Linked DNA regions of Anolis sagrei. Each later gene encodes a partner of the first gene's protein in a complex. Links are inferred from orthologs where the notes say so. Each region holds a gene or a part of one and is shown on either strand. Other genes may lie near its edges. The genes, in order: KCNQ1 and KCNE3.

Region 1 (10,343 bases):
TCATTTGTATTTCAGCCATTAAAAATACACTTTTGGGCCCTGCAATCCAAACCCAAACAATTGCCAGCTGTAAAGGTTAGGAACAGGCAAACACCTCTTGTATCAGCTGAATTGACCTTCATCTGGTTCAAATGTCTTAATAGCCCCTTTCTTCAGATCAGCTAGCACAACTAGATCAGATCTGCTGGCACTCTACTTTGCTGGCTCAGATTATCTGGCAAAACAACCAAAATGAGGACAGGCAGAGCAAAGACGGGGCATTTCAAGTCAAATCCAGACCTCTTCAATCCAGGGACAAAACCACCCATTCTGGTACAAAGTTAGGCCAGGACCAAAATAGTATTTCCAAACATTTCTAGAGTAAGGGCCTATCTACATGGACTAAATGAGGTAGGCCATGGGTGAATAGACTTTGTGCAATCCACGTGATGCACAAAGTTGACTAAACCCTCACACCTGGCAAGATCATCTAATGCATCCTTGCCCCATGTTACTCAAAGTCTGGGGATGTCCCAAAGCTCACCCACATTTTGGGCATGTGTAAAGAGTTAGGTAGGTTTCACTTCGGAACAGATTGCAATTGTTTACACAGCTATCCTGCTCTTCACAAGCTTGGCAGCCTGGGGAGAGTCCTTCCACAGCATGCAGAGTCCTTCCTGCCACTGGGATGGCTCTGTGCTATGGACACTTTTCTGCTGCTGAACCAGCTCAAAGGCTAGCTGTGAAGAATCCCCTCAAGTTGATCTAGGGTACCTGACTCCAGATCTGCTCTGGCACATGGGGGCCGTGGAAATGTGTCCTGAGAGGGTTTTGGATTTAACACAGCTTCAGTTGGTCTATTATCCACTTAGCTACTTCTCAGCTATTTTGACATGAAAGAGAATTGTGAGCTTATCAGTGTCAATGAAAATTACTTCCAAGTAATGCTGCTTTTTGGAAATAATCCTAAGCATGCACCACAGAAGTTAATATCTCATCAGTTTAAGTAGAAGTTACACTGATGTAAATGTGATTGGGTCTGTGATCTTAAGCTACCATAACCATAAAATATAGTCTTATTCTGATTGAGTAGAACAGCATTCAGTTTTCTTTTGACTTGCCTGAAATGAATTGCTATCAAAAGAGCAAGATATCAATCCATATGATTATATTAAACATCATAGTGTACCAATTCTTTTAAAAGAATTGATCTCTCAGCGCCTGATGGTTCAGGCCTAGGACCTAACTTCCAACTGCATGCAAACACAAACTAACAAAAGCTTCGTGTTTCTTCTTGGTCACTTTGTTGCTCCTGATTGCATTTCATCCCTTCCCTCCCTGTGTATTGTATATGGTGAAAGGCAAACACATATTTGGAAATTTGCAGAATGGGAGATTGAGAATTAAGAAGTGATGAGTGAGAAATGAACCAAGCACAATTTTTTTCACTCCAAATCCCCTCCTACTCTGCAAGGTTTCAAACATGTTTTGCCTCTCCAAATAACGTGATAGGCTAATGGCGGGAAAGTGGTGGAAGAAGGGGTTTCCCCTCCTGCCTCTCTTCCTCTCAAAACCTCCCTCCCTGTTTGGGACCTAGAACAAGGCTGGCTGTACACTGTATAATTAATGCAGTTTGACACTGCTTTAACCACCATGGCTCAATGCTTCGGAATTCTGAGATTTGTAGCTTGGTGAGGAGCTGTCACTTTTGGGCAGAAAAGGCTTGTAAATCTACAGCCCCCAGGATTCCATAGCATTGAGCCATGGCAGTTAAACTGGTGTCTATCTGCATTAATTATGCACTGTTGATGCACCCCCAAACAGCAACCAAGTGTTTGCTACATGGGCTTATGTGCAGTAGTGCAGGTAACCCCTGGCTCTGAACAATCAACCAACTGATGCAGATAAATGGCTGCTTTAAAGTACTCTCTTATGAGCAACAATTTATGGACTCTGCTGCTCCAGCCAGCATAAAAAGTTCTTGGCACACAATGTATTGCTTCCCTAATCACATTACGAATGAATGGAACACACACAAAGAAGTATGTGCGCAACTCATCAAATAGATCCAGACCTTAAGAATGTTACTTTTTTGGATTGCAACTTCCCCCCAAAAGTCTTCTGGGAGTTGCAGTAAAAAAAAAAAAAAAGCTTTTCCAAGACCTTCAGCACTGAGCAATCCACAGCGGAACTTTCCATTGGGCATAACAGGTACATGGTTCAAGGGGGCCTGTCTGGAAACACACCTAGAGCTGCTACCCAACAGAGCTGTTCCTCCACCCAAGGTCTTATACTGATGGGATTACTAAAAACGCATATTCTGTAAGACAGGCATCACAAGCTAAAAAGGGGAAAACAGACTTCTGTGTGACAAACACATCTGAGGATCTTACAATGAATTGTTACATACGTCGCCTGCAGTATATTTTAAGTATGTTTTAATTTGTTTATTGTATGTTTTATTGTTGATATTGTGTGTTTCATATGTTGTAAACCACTTTGGTTTGGTGCAGCATGTTAAACTGCTGATCTGATTACCTTGCTGATCAAAAGGTCAGCGATTCGAATTCAGGGAGCATGGTGAGCTTCCACTGTTAAGCCCAGCTTCTGCCGACCTAGCAGTTTGAAAACATGCAAACGTGAGTAGATCAATAGGCACCACTCTGGCGAGAAGGTAATGGCACTTCTTGCAGTCATGCTGGCCACATGACCTAGGAGATGCCTACGGACAATGCTGCCTCTTCAACTTAGAAATGGAGATGAGCATTACCCCCCAGAGCTGGACACAACTAGACTTAATGTCAAGGGGAAACCTTTATCTTTTTAACCGCTTTGGGTCCAGCCGCAGAGAAAGGCAGAGGGAGAAATATCTTAAACAAACAAATAAATGCTACAAACTCTTTCCTAGAAGTTTAGTGAACCCTTGGTATCTACTGGGGTTTGGTTCCATGGATAACAAAATCTGTGGATGCTCAAGTCCCATTATGTACAATGGCACAGTAAGAGGGTGTCCCTGCACAAAATGGCAAAATCAACATTTGCTTTTGGGAATTTTAAAGAAATGTATGGTTTAATCTGTGAATGCAGAATCTGTGGATGCGGAGGGCTGGCTGCATCCTCCACTGAACCTAACGGAAATGACTCCCAAGTATGAGCATGCCTATTGCAGTTATCCGTTTGCTTGTTAATTTGGTGGCATTACCTATACCCCAGTAGTGCAGTAGGTTAAACCACTGAGCTGCTGAACTTGCTGACTGAAAGGTTGGTAGTTTGAATCTGGGGAGCGGAGTGAGCTCCTATTTTTAGCCCCAGCTCCTGCCAACCTACATTTCAAAAACATGCAAATGTGAGTAGATCAATAGCAATCACTCTGGTAGGAAAGTAATGGTATTCCATGCAGTCATGTTGGCCACATAACCTTGGAGGTGTCTACGGACAATGCTGGCTCTTCAGCTTAGAAATGGAGATGAGCACCACCCCCCAGATTAAGACACAACTGGACTTAAATGTCAGGAGGAAACTTTTACCTTTACCTATACCCTATCTTATAGGGACTCAGGGAGACTTAGGGTTTAAACCAAGCAAACTCTAGCGACGCCTGGGGTGCATATAGACTGTACCACGAAGGAAGTTCAAAACCACTTTAAATGCCATGGCCCAGTGCTATGGAAACCTGGGTGTTGCAAGTTGAGAAGGCTCTGGCGCTTTTTGGTGGAGAAGACTCCAGAACAAGCATGGGAAAACTTTGGTCCTCCAGGTGTTTTGGACTTCACCTCCCAGAAATCCCAGCCAGCTTACCAGCTGTTAGGAATTGTGGGAGTTGAAGCCTAAAACACCAGGAGGGCCGAAGTTTGCCCGTGCCTGCTCCAGACCTTGTAAAATGATTCCACAGCATTGGGTTCCTGGCAGTCCAAGTCCTGTCAAACTGCATTTATCCTCTCTGTCTTTGTGTGTGTCTCTCTCTAGTAATTTTATTGAAGGGGAGGGAGTGGTGATAGTAGAATAAATCAAGGGTGTCAAAGGTCTTTTCACCAAAGGCCACAACTGCCTTACGGTTGCCTTCAAAGGGTTGCTTGCAACTGCAAGACTGTACACATGGAACTATGTTGACCTCTTCTTGGAAGCCTCGTGGACCAAATACCAATGATGCTCGGTCCTTGGCCTTGCGTTGGATGCGCGTGGCACAACAAAGTACCAAGTTAGACGTGTTTTAGAAGTGCACCAAAGCAGCAACTTTGAGCTGTCATGCGATGGAGAGAAGGTGTGCGAGGTTGCGCAGGACAACCCGAAGAGCCGAGGCGGGTTGCTTCGTGTGGGGAAGGGAGGAGGAGGAGGAGGAGGAAGAGCCGCCTGCTTGCCGGGGCCGGGCTCGTGGGAAGCGGACTGCAGCCCCCAGCATCCCGGGCAGGATGCAAAGCGCCCTGGGTGGGAGGGAGCCCACTCCTGCGAGAGATGGTGCCCGCTGCCTTTCCTTCCCCTCCCCTCCTCTCGTCCTACTCTAACTCCGAAGGGCTCCCCTCCCCCTTTCCCCTTCCCCCCCCCCCCCCCCCCGCTGACTCACACGGTGAAGTGGTAGACGAAGCACTTCCACCCGGTGGGTCTCTCGAGGAAGTTGTAGACCCGTCCTTGGATGTGGCTGCGGCTGAGGAGCGGGCGCCGGGCGCTGTAGATGGAGACGCGCGGGTCCAGGTTGACCGAGGGGCGCGGGAAGTCGGCGCTCATCACCACCCGCGCCGCCACCGCCTCCTCTTCGCCTGATCCTCCTCCTCCTCCTCCTCCGCCTGGCGGGCTGCGCGGGGCCGGGGGGCCGGGCGCCGAGAGCGAGAAAGGCGCGTAGCGGGCGTCGGGGGCGTTCTCGGCCAGCTCCAGCGCCGAGGGCTTGAGGCTGCCTTTCTTGGAGAGGACCGAGAAGCGCTCCAGGGTCCAGCGGCGCCGCTCCGCCTTCGCGGGGGAAGGGGAAGGAGAAGGCGAAGGCGGCGGGGAAGCAGGCATCGCGGCCAGGCCAGGCGGGGGCAGCGCTGCTCTCCTTCGCTCTGGCCTTTCTCGCCGCCTGCCTGCCCGTCCGCCCGCCCGAGAGCCCTTCTTGGCCCGGCCCACTCAAGGGGAGGGAGGGAGGGAGGGAGGGAGGCTCCCCGGGGAAGGAAGGGCCCCGCTCTCCGCCCCGATGCCTCCTGCCCGTCGCCACCCAAGGAGCCCCGGCGCGGACTGCCGAGGAAGGAGACCGGCCCTCCTTTTCTTTTCTTTTCTTTTCTTTTCTTTTCTTTCTCCTCTCCCTTCCCTTCCCCTCCTTTCCTTCCTTCCTTCCTTCCTTTCTCCTTCCTTCTTTCTTTCTTTCTCTCTTCCTCCCTCCCTCCCTCTTTCCTTTTTCCTCCCCCCTCTCTTCTTCCTCCCTCCTTCCCTCTTCCTTCCTTCCTTCTTTCCTTTCTTTCTTTCTTTCTTTCCTTCCTTCTCCCTCCCTCCCTCTTTCCTTCCTTCCTTCCTTCTTTCTCCCTCCCTCCCTCTTTCTTTCTTTCTTTCTTTCTTTCCTTTGTTCCTCCTTTACTTCTCCCTCACTCCTTCCTTCCTTCCTTCTTTCTTTCTCTCTCTCTCTCTCCCTCTTTCTTTCTTTCTTTCTTTCTTTCTTTCCTTTCTTCCTCCTTTCCTTCTTCCTCCCTCCCTCCCTCTTTCTTTCTTTCTTTCCTTTCTTTCCTTTCTTTCTCCTTTCCTTCTTCCTCCCTCCCTCCCTCTTTCTTTCTTTCTTTCTTTCTTTCCTTTCTTTCCTTTCTTTCCTTTCTTTCCTTTCTTCCTCCTTTCCTTCTCCCTCCCTCCCTCCCTCCTTCCTTCCTTCTTTCCCTGACAAGGCTCTGGTGCTTGGCACAACCGGGCAGCAAGTTCACAGACAGCAGGTGCTCTGAAGGCTGCTGTGGCCTTCTTGGTGTTATTGCGACTCTCCCTTGCTGCCCCCGGACCCTGGCAGGCTACTGGAGCACAGGCCACCTATTTCAATGCAGCCTGAGCCCTGCCACATGCACAACGGAGGACCTTCTTATAGGAATACCAGAGGCACTCCAAGGGGCCCACTATTGGTCAAAGGACATTTAGTATCATGACAAGTTTTTAACCTTTGTGTTTTTTAAATACATTACCTCTGTAATCTTGGTTCTCTCCTGATAGGATAAATGAATTGGAAGTCCTCAATAGTGACCATGAATTCATTTCTGCTGACACAACTGACATTGAAACATCATATTTGAAAAACTTTTGTATAAATGCAACAATTCCAAATACTATATATCTTATACCAGTAGTTCCCAACCTGTGGTCCGTGGACCACCAAGAACGAAAATATGGTCTCTGGCTTCACCATTACTACACCGTTGCCTCAAAACCCTGCAGCAACAAGAGCAACTGGTCTTGCGAAACCCTCTTATAATGTCAAGGCAATGGGAATTTGGGAGGGGAGAGGCTGACTGCCCACAAAAGATTACTACTACCACATCAGCTCTAGATTATTCACTATGGTTTTCTGTGGGCGAGCAGATGGTGACTACTGGATGGCCTATGTTCTGTATCAGAAACTAGAGCTCATGTAGCCTATCCAATGCAGTTTTCTGAATCAGCACCCCAAATAACCAAACCAAATCTAAAATTGACCAAAGATTGATTCGTAACCCTGTTGATACTAATGTTGCAGAGTCGTCCCTGGTCAATGGTCCCTTGTCAAAAAAAAAGTTGTGAACTTATACCATATTTACTCAAGTCTAATGCACCATCAGATCTAATGCACACTTCCATTTTCAAAACCCTGAAATAAAAAAAGGGGGGGGGGGGATTATTTGCTGCCAAAGGTCATGTGCAGCAGCAAAAAGTGCTCTCTTTGTCATTTGCCCCTTACAGTTGGTGCCTACTTAGAATTCTCCTTTAGAACACCAAAACTTCCAGCAATGGAAAGGAAACCTTGGGATGCTACATTCTCTGCTGCAGGATGAATGCACTTTAATTATCTTGGTTCAATGCCATGGAGTCATGGGGTGGGCGTGAAGTTTTTCAAGTCTTGAGCCTTCTCTGCCAAAGAATGCAGGTGCCTCGCCAAACTACAAATCCCAGGATGGCAAAACATTGAGTCTGAGTCTGGCCATTAAATTTGAGATATAAATTTCAAATAGTGAAGCAGCTTCCCCTTTGGCTTTGGCTCAGCATAGAATCATAGAATCAAAGAGTTGGAAGAGACCTCATGGGCCATCCAGTCCAACCCCCTGCCAAGAAGCAGGAATAGCACTAAGATTACAGTATGATGCGAATCTCATGCACACCCTAACTTTGACAAGGTCATTTAGACAAAAAAGGTGAGCATTAGATTTGAGTAAATAGGGTGTATAGTACTACACGATTTGTGGTCCAATATGTAAGAGAAATATATATATTATTTCTGTTTCCATTATTTAGCCATCATTTTCTGGTGTATATAAGATCTCTTTTAAAGTACACCAGGCCCTTGGTGCCCCCCCTCCCCCGAGGCACAGCATGTTAAACCGCTGAGCCACTGAACTTGCTGACAAAAAGGTTGGTGGTTCAAATCCGGGGAGCAGGGTGAGCTCCTGCTGTTAGGCCCAGCTTCTGCCAACCTAGCAGTTCAAAAACATGCAAATGTGAGTAGATCAATAGGTACCTCTCCGGTGAGAAGGTAATAGTGCTCCATGCTGTCATGCTGGCCACATGACCTTGGAGGTGTCTATGGACAACGCTGGCTCTTTGGCTTAGAAATAGAGATGAGCACCACCCCCCAGAGTCAGACATGACTAGACTTAATGTCAGGGGAAACATTTACCATTACCTTTTAGGCCCTTGGTATGTCTGATCACCATCTCCCAAAGCAATTACGTTATTCTCAACTTAAGAATGGAAAACAGAATGTTGGTGGACAGCAAAAGAGATGTAAAGATCAGCTTAAAGCTAAACTAAATGTGGTATAAACACAGAGAATTGGGAAACCCTGGCCCTCAATACAGGACAAAAAGAAGAGAAGTGTCAAGCAAATCCTTCTCATGATCACCTTCTATCTGAACATCTGTGTCCTCATTGTGAAATACCACGTGGATCCAGAATAGGTCTTCACAGTCACTGTCAAGGCTCTCTCTCTGGAAGACAATCATACTCAGCCACAACACATTGCACATTATGACATGATTTGAAGTATGATAATATATACTAGAAAAGTGTATATTATTTCCATTATTTAGTTACCATTTAAAGTAGAGGGGGCCTTGGTACCTGTTGGAGTTTGGTTCCAGCCTCCATCTCCCCACCTGCTGAACATACACCTGGATAACAAAATCAGTGAATATTAAGGTCCCATTATATACACTTATATAAAATGGCAAAATCAAGGGTTGCTTTCTGGAAATTCATTTTAATACTTTCAATCCATAAATACAGTAGTTCCATGGTTTGGAATGGTCGTCATGCCAGGAAAGGTTACTTAGTTAAGTAAACTTTATTGAGGAGCTGATACAAGATTGCAGTCAAAGTAGCTGTATCTATGTATGATTGAGGAGAAATAAAACTTGCATTATTATTGATATAACCAAAAAAACTGAAACAATTCAGTTTTAAATTTTACTTGGTAACTGCTTTGGGAAACAGGCATTTAGACAACATGGCTGCTCCAGTGAAATTGATGGTGGAGAAGGAACTGTTACAGATGAGTAAATCTAGATAACTGTTTCGTATTTACAATCACTCTTTAGTCATGACTGTGACACTATTGATCAGGGATTGTTTAAAAACTGTGCAGAACAGACAAATTGAATGTGTCTCTCCCCCAAACACACACTCCAACTTATTTTACCTGACATCAGCTGCATAGGAAGAAGAAGACCCATTCTGCATGGGTGAATATGGTTTGGAATGGTGGTCATGCCAGGAAAGGTTAGTTAAGTAAACTTTATTAAGTAGCTGATACAAGATTGTAGTCACAGTAATTATCTTTGGTGGTGTAATCATTTCGTTTTCTCCTTAGTCATAGCCTTTCCCAACCTGCACCCTCCAGGGGGACAGGTATCCATCATCCCCATCCAGCACAACCAAGAACTATGCTGGTTGAGACAAAAGGAATTGTAATCTCATTGTTTTTTTCCTGTCTGAAAAAATAATATTCAATTTGTCTGTTCTGCACAGTTTAAACAATCCCTGGTCAAATCACATTTAATATCCTATATACTCATGTGTAAGTCTAAAAATATGAGTCAAAAATCAACTCTAAAAAACTAGTCCAGATATCCATGGGTCAATGTGACTGTATCTTAACTGATAAAAAAGGAACCATCCTCTTCTCTGAGTAGTAATAAAAGGCAAGAGCGTAGTCCATCTTGAGAGAACCTAAAAGGAGCATCAGCTTTCTTTGCTATGGCACTGTTTCTGGCTTCTCTGAAGGTCTGGGCAGAGAAATTGTGGTTTTGGTGGTTTAAGAAGTTTGATCTCCCAAGGCAGCATTAGTGCTTTCCCCTCTTCTTGGAATAACCCTCTACTTATCCACAAGTCATATCAAAATCCACACTTTTGGCTCCAAAACCTGCCTTCAGGTTACACATAAAGCCAGCTTATATATAAGTATATACAATTCTTGTTATATAGGTAACTTTTGATATATATAATCACAGCTTCATGTTAATAGGACCAAGTTGGAGCAATCATCCTGAGAGAGAACTGGCATGATCTGGGGAAAAGAGTAAAAGAAAGAGAGAAGCAAAGAAACCAGCGAGGAACCAAGAAGCATCTTTCTACTGTGAAGGGAACTTATCATTTTTACCAGTGAGATACCAAATTTCCCCTCATGCCTTGGGCTTAAGAAATATCATACCAGATATTAACTTCCTATAGTCTTTAACCTGAAACCAGTGTTCTTACTCATTGGTGGTTGCAGGTAAGCACTACTTATCCACTTGCTGAACTACTCATAAGTAATCTGTGTCAAAAGTAGATTGGCACAACCTACATGCTAGTTACTAATCTTGTAAGTATTATTCAACTTGGGAGGTTGAAACACTTGCAAGCAGTGGCTGTGCCACTGATTATAACACCTACCTTTTCTATCTGAGGATGCTTTCTTCTGAAAATCTAAGACAAATGCAGCCGTTTTATAAAAGGCAAAGAAGTATCCAGGGTGATGCTGAAGGCTTTCATGGCCAGAATGACTAGGGCCATACAGCCCGGAAAACTCACAGCGACCTATTATCCAGGGTGTTCTATAAAACCTATCCTTCCACATGTACATCAAACTGCAAATAATTCAGGCATGTTTAAACAATGCAATCCTATAGATGTCAATTCACTATATCCTATTCAATTTACGAGAGCTTACTTCCAGGAAAGTGAGTATAGAATGA
Region 2 (10,359 bases), on another chromosome or scaffold:
AGAGAGTTCCACTGCTGAACGGCTCTCACAGTCAGAATGCTCTTTGATTGCAGGTGAACTATCAATCCCAGCAACTACAACTCCCAAATGACAAAATCAATCCCCCCAACCCCACCAGTATTCAAATTTGGACGTATTGGGTATTGTGCCAAATTTGGTCCAGTGAATGAAAATATATTTTGCATATCAGATATTTACATGACGATTCATAACAGGAGCAAAATTGCAATTATGAAGTAGGAATGAAAATAATGTGATGGTTGGGGGTCACCACAACTTAAGGAACTGTATTAAGGGTTGTGGCATTAGGAAGGTTGTGAACCACTGTCATTGAGTCTCATCCAATTCAACATAGTTTGCGGCACTGACAACGAAGTTCATGAAAGAGAACAACTCCTTTCAAAGTAAGTACGGCACAATTACACGGGAAATAACACTTTCAAAACAGGAACAATAATTATTTCAGAAGCAATTGGGAAAGAATGCCTGATGGAGAGGGTCCACACCCATTGCCCATGTGCTTGTGTTGAGTGTGCATTGCTCCACAAATGCAGGGAACAAAACCAACCTCTGTCCATGGCATTCATTGGCCTTGCAAAGGCATTCGACACAGCGAATCGCAGCGCTCTGTGGACCATCCTCCAAAAAATCGGGTGCCCAAGCAAATTTGTGAACATCCTCCATGATGACATGATGGCAACAGTCTTGGACAGCAATGGCTCTCAAAGTGACCCATTTAAGGTGGAATCGGGTGTCAAACAGGGATATGTTCTTGCCCCAACTCTATTCTCCACCTTCATCGCTATGATACTTCACCTTGCTGACGGGAAGCTTCCCACTGGAGTGAAAATCATGGCAAGCTATTCAACCTCAGCAGACTGAAAGCCAAAACCAAGGTTATAACAACATCTGTTATAGAATTCCAGTATGCTGATGACAATGTTGTCTGTGTGCATTCAGAAGAATATCTACAAGCCACTCTAAACACCTTCGCAGAAGCATACGAGAAGCTCGGCCTGTCACTGAACATCGAGAAAACCAAAGTGCTGTTCCAGCAGACACCAGGCAATCCCTCTCCAATGCCAAAAATACATCTTAATGGTGTAACATTAGAAAATGTTGACCATTTCCGCTACCTTGGCAGCCACCTCTCCACAAATGTCAACATCGACACCGAAATACAACACCGCCTGAGCTCTGTGAGTGCATCATTTTCCCGAATGAAGCAGAGAGTGTTTGAGGACTGGGACATCCGCAGGGAGACCAAGGTGCTTGTTTATAAAGCTATTGTCCTCCCAACCCTGCTCTATGCCTGTGAAACGTGGACTGTCTACAGACGTCAACATTGAAACTGAAATACACCACCACCTGAGCTCTGAGAGTGAAGCATTTTTCCAAATGAAGCAGAGAGTGTTTGAGGACCGGGACATCTGTAGGGATACCAAGGTTTATAAAGCTATTGTCCTCCCAACCCTGCTATATGCCTGCAAAACGTGGACTGTCTACAGACATCAAAACTGAGGCTGAAATACAACACCACCTGAGCTCTGCAAGCGCAGCATTTTTCTGAATGAAGCAGAGAGTGTTTGAGGACCGGGACATCTGTAGGGAAACCAAGGTGTATATAAAACTATTGTTCTCCCAACTCTACTGTATGCCTGTGAAACGTGGACTGTCTACAGATGCAACTCCTGGAACGATTCCGTCAGCACTGCCTCTGGAAAATCCTGCAAATCTCTTGGGAAGGCAGGCGGACAAACGTCAGCGTGCTGGAAGAATCAAAGACCACCAGCATTGAAGCGATGGTCTTCCGCCATCAACTCCGCTGGACCAGCCACGTTGTCCGGATGCCCGACCACCGTCTCCCAAAGCAGTTGCTCTACTCCGAACTCAAGAACGGAAAACGGAATGTTGGAGGATTGGAAAAGAGATTGAAAGGTGGGCTCAGAGCAAACCTTAAAATCTCTGGCATAGACACTGAGAACTGGGAAGCCCTGACCTGTGAGCACTCCAGTTGGAGGTCAGCTGTGACCAGCAGTGCTGCAGAATTTGAAGAGGCATGAATGGAGGGTGAATTAGAGAAGCGTGCCAAGAAGAAGGCACATCAAGTCGACCCCAACCGAGACCACCTTCCATCTGGAAACTGATGCCCTCACTGCGGGAGAAGATGCGGGTCAAGAATAGGACTCCACAGCCACCTACGGACTCACAAGAATTCTGATCTTGGAAGACTATCCTACTCAGCCAACGAGGGATTGCCTAACAACAACAAGCTGCATGAATGCACACGCAGCACAACAAGAAACAAAGACACACACAAAGCCCATCTGAGACTTGACTCACAGGACTTAGAATCAACAAACCGAGAGTTTGAAAACAATCCGTGCACAGATCCAGAGCGCAATTAAATCCAAAACAAACACTCCTAACCAATCCCATTAAAAGGCAGCGACTTATCATATTTTAAAATAATCTTTTAATGGGTTTACACATTCTTATCGCTTCCTCTTATTTGTGTTGGTTAGTTAACGGCCGTGCTGCGTGGATGAATGGGGCCCCTTGCACGTGGATCCGTGTGCACCTTTGCTTGTGAAAACTGTGTTGCACACTTGGCTCACGCTCGTGCCACAAAGCTGCTCGACACAAGGGTTGTGTGGCACGGTACTTGTGCAAAGATTTACAACCTGGACATTTTCACACTTCAGAGTTGTTGTGACTTTTCCGGGCTGTATGGCCATGTTCCAGAAGCATTATCTCCTGACGTTACACCCACATCTATGGCAGTCATCTTCAGAGGTTGTAAAGTCTGTTGGAAACTAGGCAAGTAGGGTTGGCTACTCTTGATCTCATCCTAACAAATGCGGAGGACCTGATCGATGCGGTTGAAGTGGTAGGATCCTTAGGGGCAAGTGACCATGTGCTCCTGCAATTTGAGGTACAAAGGAAGGCCGAAACTAAGACAAGTCAAACCCGCATTTTGGACTTTAGGAGAGCTGATTTCCAAAAAATGAAGGAAACGCTGAGCAGCACAGATACTAAAAGACAAGGGAGCTACGGATGGATGGGAATTTCTCAAGAGTGAAATACTAAAGGTGCATTTGCAAACTGTGCCAACAAAGAGAAAAAATAGGACAAGTGCAAAGAAGCCAGAATGGATGTCCAAAGAACTTCTAACTGTGCTAAAACACAAAAGAGACATGCACAAGAAGTGGAGAAAGGGAGAAATCACCAAAGAAGAATTCAAACAAAACACCTGTAGGGAAAAGGTCCGCAAGGCTAAAGCACAAAACGAGCTCAGGCTTGCGAGGGACATTAAAAACAATAAAAAGGGCTTCTTTTCGTATGTCAGTAGAAAAAGGAAAAACAAGGAGCCGATAGGACCTCTTCGAGGAGAAGATGGGGCAACGCTGACAGGGGATAGGGAAAAGGCAGAACTACTCAATGCCTTCTTTGCCTCGGTCTTCTCACAAAAAGAAAATCATCTTCAACCTCAGCAAGATGGAGTGGATGAGGGATTGGAGGACATCCAACCCCAAATTGGGAAAGAAGTCGTCCAGGAATACCTGGCCGCTCTCAATGAGTTCAAGTCCCCTTTCAGGGCCAGATCAACTACACCCCAGAGTACTGAGGGAACTAGCGGAAGTCATTTCGGAACCATTGGCAATTATCTTTGAGAGTTCTTGGATTTAAAAGGGACCCCCAGAGGCCATGCAGTCCAACCCAGTTCTGCCAGGCAGGAAGACACAATCGAATCCCTCCCGACAGATGTCCATCCAGCCTTTGCTTTAGAAACCTCAAGAAAAGGAGACTCTGACGCTCAATAATAGTGTCTTTTGCCATAAAGGAGCTCTCCAAGGTCTTATTAGGGAGCAAAGCTTCGAAACCTGGAAGAACAGCTTTAAAATTCGGACTAAAACCCAGACAGAATGCATTGAAATGAAATCACCAGCCTATATTGCAAATATGCTTTGCTGGGTGTCCTCTACACTATAGAAGTGGTGCAGTTTGATCCCGCTTTAACTGTTAAGGAATCCTGTAGGTTTCCATAACACAAGAGGCGTTGTGCTGATTCAGCAACCCGTGCCCGACTTTGGACGCATTTGGAGGCGCGGGCAAAGGATGGCTTTCCCAAGGAGCGCGTTCACACGTGCGCCCACACACGGGTCCTGAGACGCGTGTCAGGGGGCCCTCTTGGGCAGAGTCTCCCTCCCTCTCTGCTTACTCACCTCTCTCTTCCCCGGCGGAGCTTCTCCTTCGCAGCTGGCAGCGTCCTGCCCAAAGCCAACCCGCCTCTGGACCTCCTTCTCCTCCTTCCCTCCTTCTTTTCCTCCTTCCTTCTTTCCTTCCTTCCTTCCCTCCCTCTTTTCACGCCTTTTTCCTGCCGGACCCAGACCCAGAAGGGAAGGGAAGAGTACCTATGAGTCACCCCCAACCCTTAAGGAACTCCTTTCCCTGGCAAAGGAGCTTCTTTCGGGGGCTCTACTTTGCAGGAAAAACTTTGGAAAACTTTTTTTGGGGAGGGAATGAGCAGGACCCCTACCTCTTCAAGCCCCATAAATTCCCTCAGGAAGAGTAACTTCCTCATATTCTGCACTCTTCTCTGCTTTATTTGGGAAACTTTTTTGGGGGGTGGGGGGTGGGGGGGTGGGAATGAGCAGGACTCCTACCTTTTCAAGCCCCATAAATTCCCTCAGGAATAGTAACTTCCTCATATTCTGCACTCTTCTCTGCTTTATTCCTGGAACAACTTGCTCATTTGGAGACAGATAGAAATACAGATATGCATTTTGTGATTTTATATTGTTGTGAGCCCTTCCCAGTCCCTGCAGGGAGAGGGAGAGGAATATAAATAAAGCTATTCCTATTATTATTATTATTATTATTATCATTAATAATAATAATAATAGAGATAGATAGATATGAGATGCACACACACACAGGAGATAGATATGAGAGAAAAATATATATGAGATAGACAGATAGATATGACAGAAATATATATATATATTTATGAGATAGATAGATATGATATACATATATATATATATATATATATGAGATAGATAGATAGGAGAGAAATATATATATCTATATGAGATAGAGAGATAGATATGAGATATATATATATATATATATGAGATAGATAGATAGATAGATAGATAGATAGGAGAGAAATATATATGAGATAGACAGATAGATATGACAGAAATATATATATATTTATGAGATAGATATGATATATACATACATATATATATATATATATATGAGATAGATGGATAGATATGAGATATATATATATATATATATATATATGAGATAGATAGATAGATAGAAGAGAAATATATATGAGATAGACAGATAGATATGACAGAAATATATATATTTATGAGATAGATATGATATATACATACATATATATATATATATATATATGAGATAGATGGATAGATATGATATATATATATATATGAGATAGATATGACACACACACACACACATATATATATATATGAGATAGATAGATAGATAGATAGAAGAGAAATATATATGAGATAGACAGATAGATATGACAGAAATATATATATTTATGAGATAGATATGATATATACATACATACATATATATATATATATATATATATGAGATAGATGGATAGATATGATATATATATATATATGAGATAGATATGACACACACACACACACATATATATATATATGAGATAGATAGATAGATAGAAGAGAAATATATATGAGATAGACAGATAGATATGACAGAAATATATATATTTATGAGATAGATATGATATATACATATACATATATATATATATATATATATATGAGATAGATGGATAGATATGATATATATATATATATGAGATAGATATGACACACACACACACACACACATATATATGAGATAGATAGATAGATAGATAGAAGAGAAATATATATGAGATAGACAGATAGATAGGGCCTGAAAACCTGGCTCTTCGAAAAGGCCTTCAATTAAGTGCTATGTTTTGGAATGACCACCGGAATGGACTAGGACTACGAGACTGATTATGACCCAAACAAGACAAAGCGGATTTTTAGTTTAATTAGCTGTGTGTTAGTAAGATGTGTGTTATGGCCCTGAATTTACTGTAACTGTTGTCTTTATGTTCTATGTTCTGTACACCGCCACGAGTCGCCTTCGGGCTGAGAGTGGCGGTTAACAAGTGCAAATAATAAATAAATAAATAATAATAGATATGACAGAAATATATATATTTATGAGATAGATATGATATATACATATATATATATATATATATATATATGAGATAGATGGATAGATATGATATATATATATATATGAGATAGATATGACACACACACACACACACATATATATATGAGATAGATAGATAGAAGAGAAATATATATGAGATAGACAGATAGATATGACAGAAATATATATATTTATGAGATATATATATATATATATATATGAGAGATAGATCAATAGATATTATCTCTCTCTCTCTCTCTCTCTCTCTCTCTCTATATATATATATATATATATATATATTAGATAGAGAGATAGATAGATAGATAGATAGATAGATAGATAGGAGATATATATATATATATATATGTATTAGATAGATGCCAGTAAAGGTAATGCTCAAGATCCTGCAAGGAAGACTCCAGCAATACATGGAGCGAGAGCTGCCAGATGTTCAAGCTGGGTTTAGAAAAGGCAGAGGAACCAGAGACCAGATTGCCAATATCCGCTGGATAATGGAGAAAGGCAGGGAGTTTCAGAAAAACATCTACTTCTGCTTCATTGACTATTCTAAAGCCTTTGACTGTGTGGATCATATTAAATTGTGGCAAGTTCTTAGTGAGATGGGCATCCCAAGCCCCCTTCCCTCTCTCCTGAGGAATCTGTACAAGGACCAAGGAGCAACAGTCAGAACTGACCACGGAACAGGAGACTGGTTCAAGATTGGGAAAGGCATCCGGCAAGGCTGCATCCTCTCACCCAACCTTTTTAACTTGTATGCAGAACACATCATGCGATGTGCGGGGCTGGATGAATGCAAAGCTGGGGTGGAAATGGCTGGAAGAAACATTCACAACCTCAGATATGCAGATGACACCACTCTGATGGCCGAAAGCGAGGAGGAGCTGAGGAGCCTTCTAATCAAGGTGAAAGAAGAAAGCGCAAAAGCCGGGTTGCAGCTAAACGTCAAAAAACCCAAGATTATGGCAACAAGAATGATTGACAACTGGGAAATAGAGGGAGAAAATGTGGAGGCTGTGACAGACTTTGTATTTCTAGGTGCAAAGATGAGTGCAGATGCAGACTGTGGCCAGGAAATCAGAAGACGGTTCCTTCTTGGGAGGAGAGCAATGTCCAGTCTTGATGAAATAGTGAAGAGTAGAGACATCAGACTGGCAACCAAGATCCATTGCCTAGTCAAAGCCATGGCATTCCCTGTAGTCACCTACGGATGTGAGAGCTGGACCTTAGGGAAGGCTGAGCGAAGGAAGATCGATGCTTTTGAGCTGTGGTGTTGGAGGAAAGTGCTGAGAGTGCCTTGGACTGCGAGAAGATCCAACCAGTCCATCCTCCAGGAAATAAAGCCCAAATGCTCACTGGAGGGAAGGAGACGAGAGACAAAGTGGAAGTCCTTTGGCCACATCATGAGGAGACAGCAAAGCCTGGAGAAGGGAATGATGCTGGGGAAAGCGGAAGGCAAAAGGAAGAGGGGCCGACCAAGGGCAAGATGGATGGATGGCATCCTTGAAGTGACTGGACTGACCTTGAGGGAGCTGGGGGTGGTAACGGCCGACAGGGAGCTCTGGCGTAGGCTGGTCCATGAGGTCACGAAGAGTCGGAGACGACTGAACGAATGAACAACAACAACATTAGATAGATAGGAGAGAACTATATTTATGACATAGATAGATTATATATATATATATATATATATATATATATATATATATATATATATATGAGATAGATAGATGGATAGATGAAAGCTAGCTAGCTAGAGGAGAAATATATATATGTATGAAATAGATAGATATGAGAGAAATATATATATCTTGCCCTGGTGACTGGATGGCCTTAAGAATTTTCTGTTGGTCATGGGGGTTCTGTGTGGGAAGTTTGGCCAATTCTGTTGTTCGTGGAGTTCAGAACGCTCTTTGATTGTAGGTGAACTATCAATCCCAGTAACTACAACTCCCAAATGTCAAGGTCTATTTTCTCCAAACTCCATCTGTGTTCATATTTGGGCATATGGAATATTCATGCCAAGTTTGGTCCTGATCCATCATTGTCTGAGTCCACAGTGCCCTCTGGATGTAGGTGAACTACAACTCCCAAACTCAAGTTCAATGCTCACCAAACCCTTCACGTGTTTTCTGTTGGTAGTGGGAGTCCTGTGTGCCATGTTTGGTTCCATTCCATTGTTGGTGGAGTTCAGAATATTCTTTGATTGCAGGTGAACTATAAATCCCAGATACTACAACTCACAAATGACAAAATCAGGGTTTTTTTTGAGTGATGGTTACTCCTTGGGTTAGTAGGTGTCTTGTGTCCAAATTTGGTGGCAATTCGTCCAGTGGTTTTTGAGTTATATTAATAACTCAAAAATAATATGTATAATAATAATATAATTCCATAATTTATGATTCTGAGGAAAAGGAGGGAAAAGGGGACTTTGGTGTACCAGCCACTCCTGTTCTGGAGGTCGAAATCTTCCACCGCTCCCTCAACTTATACAAAATGTTCCAGTCCAGGACATGTATATTCATTTAACACATGCCCTGCTATTTGCCATGTTCCCTGTGCAGAACCCATAAATCCAGGCGATTCCAAGAGATTCCCTGTCATTTAGGAGGAACCAGAAAGCAAAAAAGGCAGGCTCTTCCAATGTAAATCATTATCCAGTGTAAATCAAAGCTAATTTATTTGTTTATCATGTCAGGAGTGAACCAAACAGTTGTATTGTATTTTTTTAAAACACACACACACAAAGTTTGCAAACTTGGCATTCTCTTAAATGTCTTTTGACCAGTAGTCATCCACTTGGAGTGCCTCTGGTGTTGCTGCAAGAAGGTCCTCCATGGTGCATCATGTGGCAGGGCTCAGGGTGCATTGCAGCAAGTGGTCAGTGGTTTGCTCTTCTCCACACTCGCATGTCGTGGATTCCACTTTGTGACCCCATTTCTTAAATCTCGTGGTGCCAGAGCACAGTCTGTTCAGTTCCTTCCAAGTCCTCCTTTTCCCTTTCTTTCTTTCTTTCTTTCTTTCTTTCTTTCTTTCTTATTTAATTTAAATTTATTATTTAAAACTTTTATATCCCAATCTTCTCTACCTCCGTAGAGGGACTCAAACTGGCTTTCTTTCTTTCTTTCCTTCCAGACGTCCTTCCTTTTCTCCCCTTCTTTTCCCTTTCTTTCCTTCCTTTCTTTTCTGACCTCCTTTTCTCTTTCCGTCCATCCTTCCTATTCTGCCTTTCTTTCTATCTTTCCTTCCTTCCCGTCATCCTTCCTTTTCTCCTCTTCTTTTCCCTTTCTTTCTTTCCTTCCTCTTTTCTGACCTCCTGTTCCCTTTCTTTCCTTCTATTCTTCCTTTTCTGCTCTTTTCCCTTTCTTTTTTTCTTCATTTTCTGCCCTTCTTTTCCCTTTCATTTACTTTTCTGCCCTTCTTTTTCCTTTTCTCCTTCTTTTCCTTTTCTTTCTTTCCTTCTAGACGTGCCTCCTTCTCTCCCCTGCTTTTCCCTTTCTTTCTTTCCTTCCTTTCTTTTCTGACCTCCTTTTCCCTCTTTCTTTCCTTCCTTTCTTTTCTGACCTCCTTTTCCCTCTTTCTTTCCTTCCTTCCTTCCTTCCATCCTTCCTTCCTTTCCTTCCTTCCTGCCATCCTTCCTTTTCTCCCCTTATTTTCCCTTTCTTTCTTTCCTTTCTTTTCTGTTATCCTTTTCCCTTTCCTTCCTTTCATCCTACCTTTGCTACCCTTCTTTTCCCTTTCTTTCTTTCCTTCCTTCCCGCCGTACTTCCTTTTCTCCCCTTCTTTTCCCTTTCTTTCTTTCCTTTCTTTTCTGTTATCCTTTTCCCTTTCCTTCCTTTCATCCTACCTTTGCTGCCCTTCTTTTCCCTTTCTTTCTTTCCTTTCTTTTCTGTTATCCTTTTCCCTTTCCTTCCTTTCATCCTACCTTTGCTGCCCTTCTTTTCCCTTTCTTTCTTTCCTTCCTTCCCGCCGTACTTCCTTTTCTCCCATTCTTTTCCCTTCCTTTCTTTTCTAACCTCGTGTTCCCTTTCTTTCCTTCTATTTTTCCTTTTATTTTCATTT

What was found.
Region 2: the proteins of KCNQ1 (region 1) and KCNE3 are in contact, whole or in part, in a cryo-EM structure (PDB 6V01), measured with the Homo sapiens proteins. The link is inferred for Anolis sagrei from reciprocal best matches to the Homo sapiens genes KCNQ1 and KCNE3. Residues at the interface, in NP_000209.2 of Homo sapiens: Arg116, Pro117, Thr118, Gly119, Trp120, Cys122, Phe123, His126, Phe127, Phe130, Leu134, Leu137, Ile138, Val141, Leu142, Ile145, Gln147, Tyr148, Arg181, Met238, Val241, Asp242, Gln244, Thr247, Lys362, Asn365, Ile368; in NP_005463.1 of Homo sapiens: Asp54, Asp55, Asn56, Ser57, Tyr58, Ile61, Met65, Phe68, Ala69, Val72, Gly73, Leu75, Ile76, Leu77, Tyr79, Thr80, Arg81, Ser82, Arg83, Val85, Lys87, Asp90.

Annotation. Positions count from the first base shown.
Region 1 is NC_090021.1:245,560,981-245,571,323, reverse strand, and holds the start of KCNQ1 (potassium voltage-gated channel subfamily KQT member 1), read right to left. Parts: upstream 5,027-10,343; 5' UTR 4,972-5,026; coding exon 4,541-4,971; intron 1-4,540. UniProt on the Homo sapiens protein: Pore-forming subunit of the voltage-gated potassium (Kv) channel involved in the regulation of cardiomyocyte excitability and important in normal development and functions of myocardium, inner ear, stomach and colon.
Region 2 is NC_090023.1:5,044,492-5,054,850, forward strand, and holds the start of KCNE3 (potassium voltage-gated channel subfamily E member 3), read right to left. Parts: upstream 4,292-10,359; 5' UTR 4,227-4,291; intron 1-4,226. UniProt on the Homo sapiens protein: Ancillary protein that functions as a regulatory subunit of the voltage-gated potassium (Kv) channel complex composed of pore-forming and potassium-conducting alpha subunits and of regulatory beta subunits.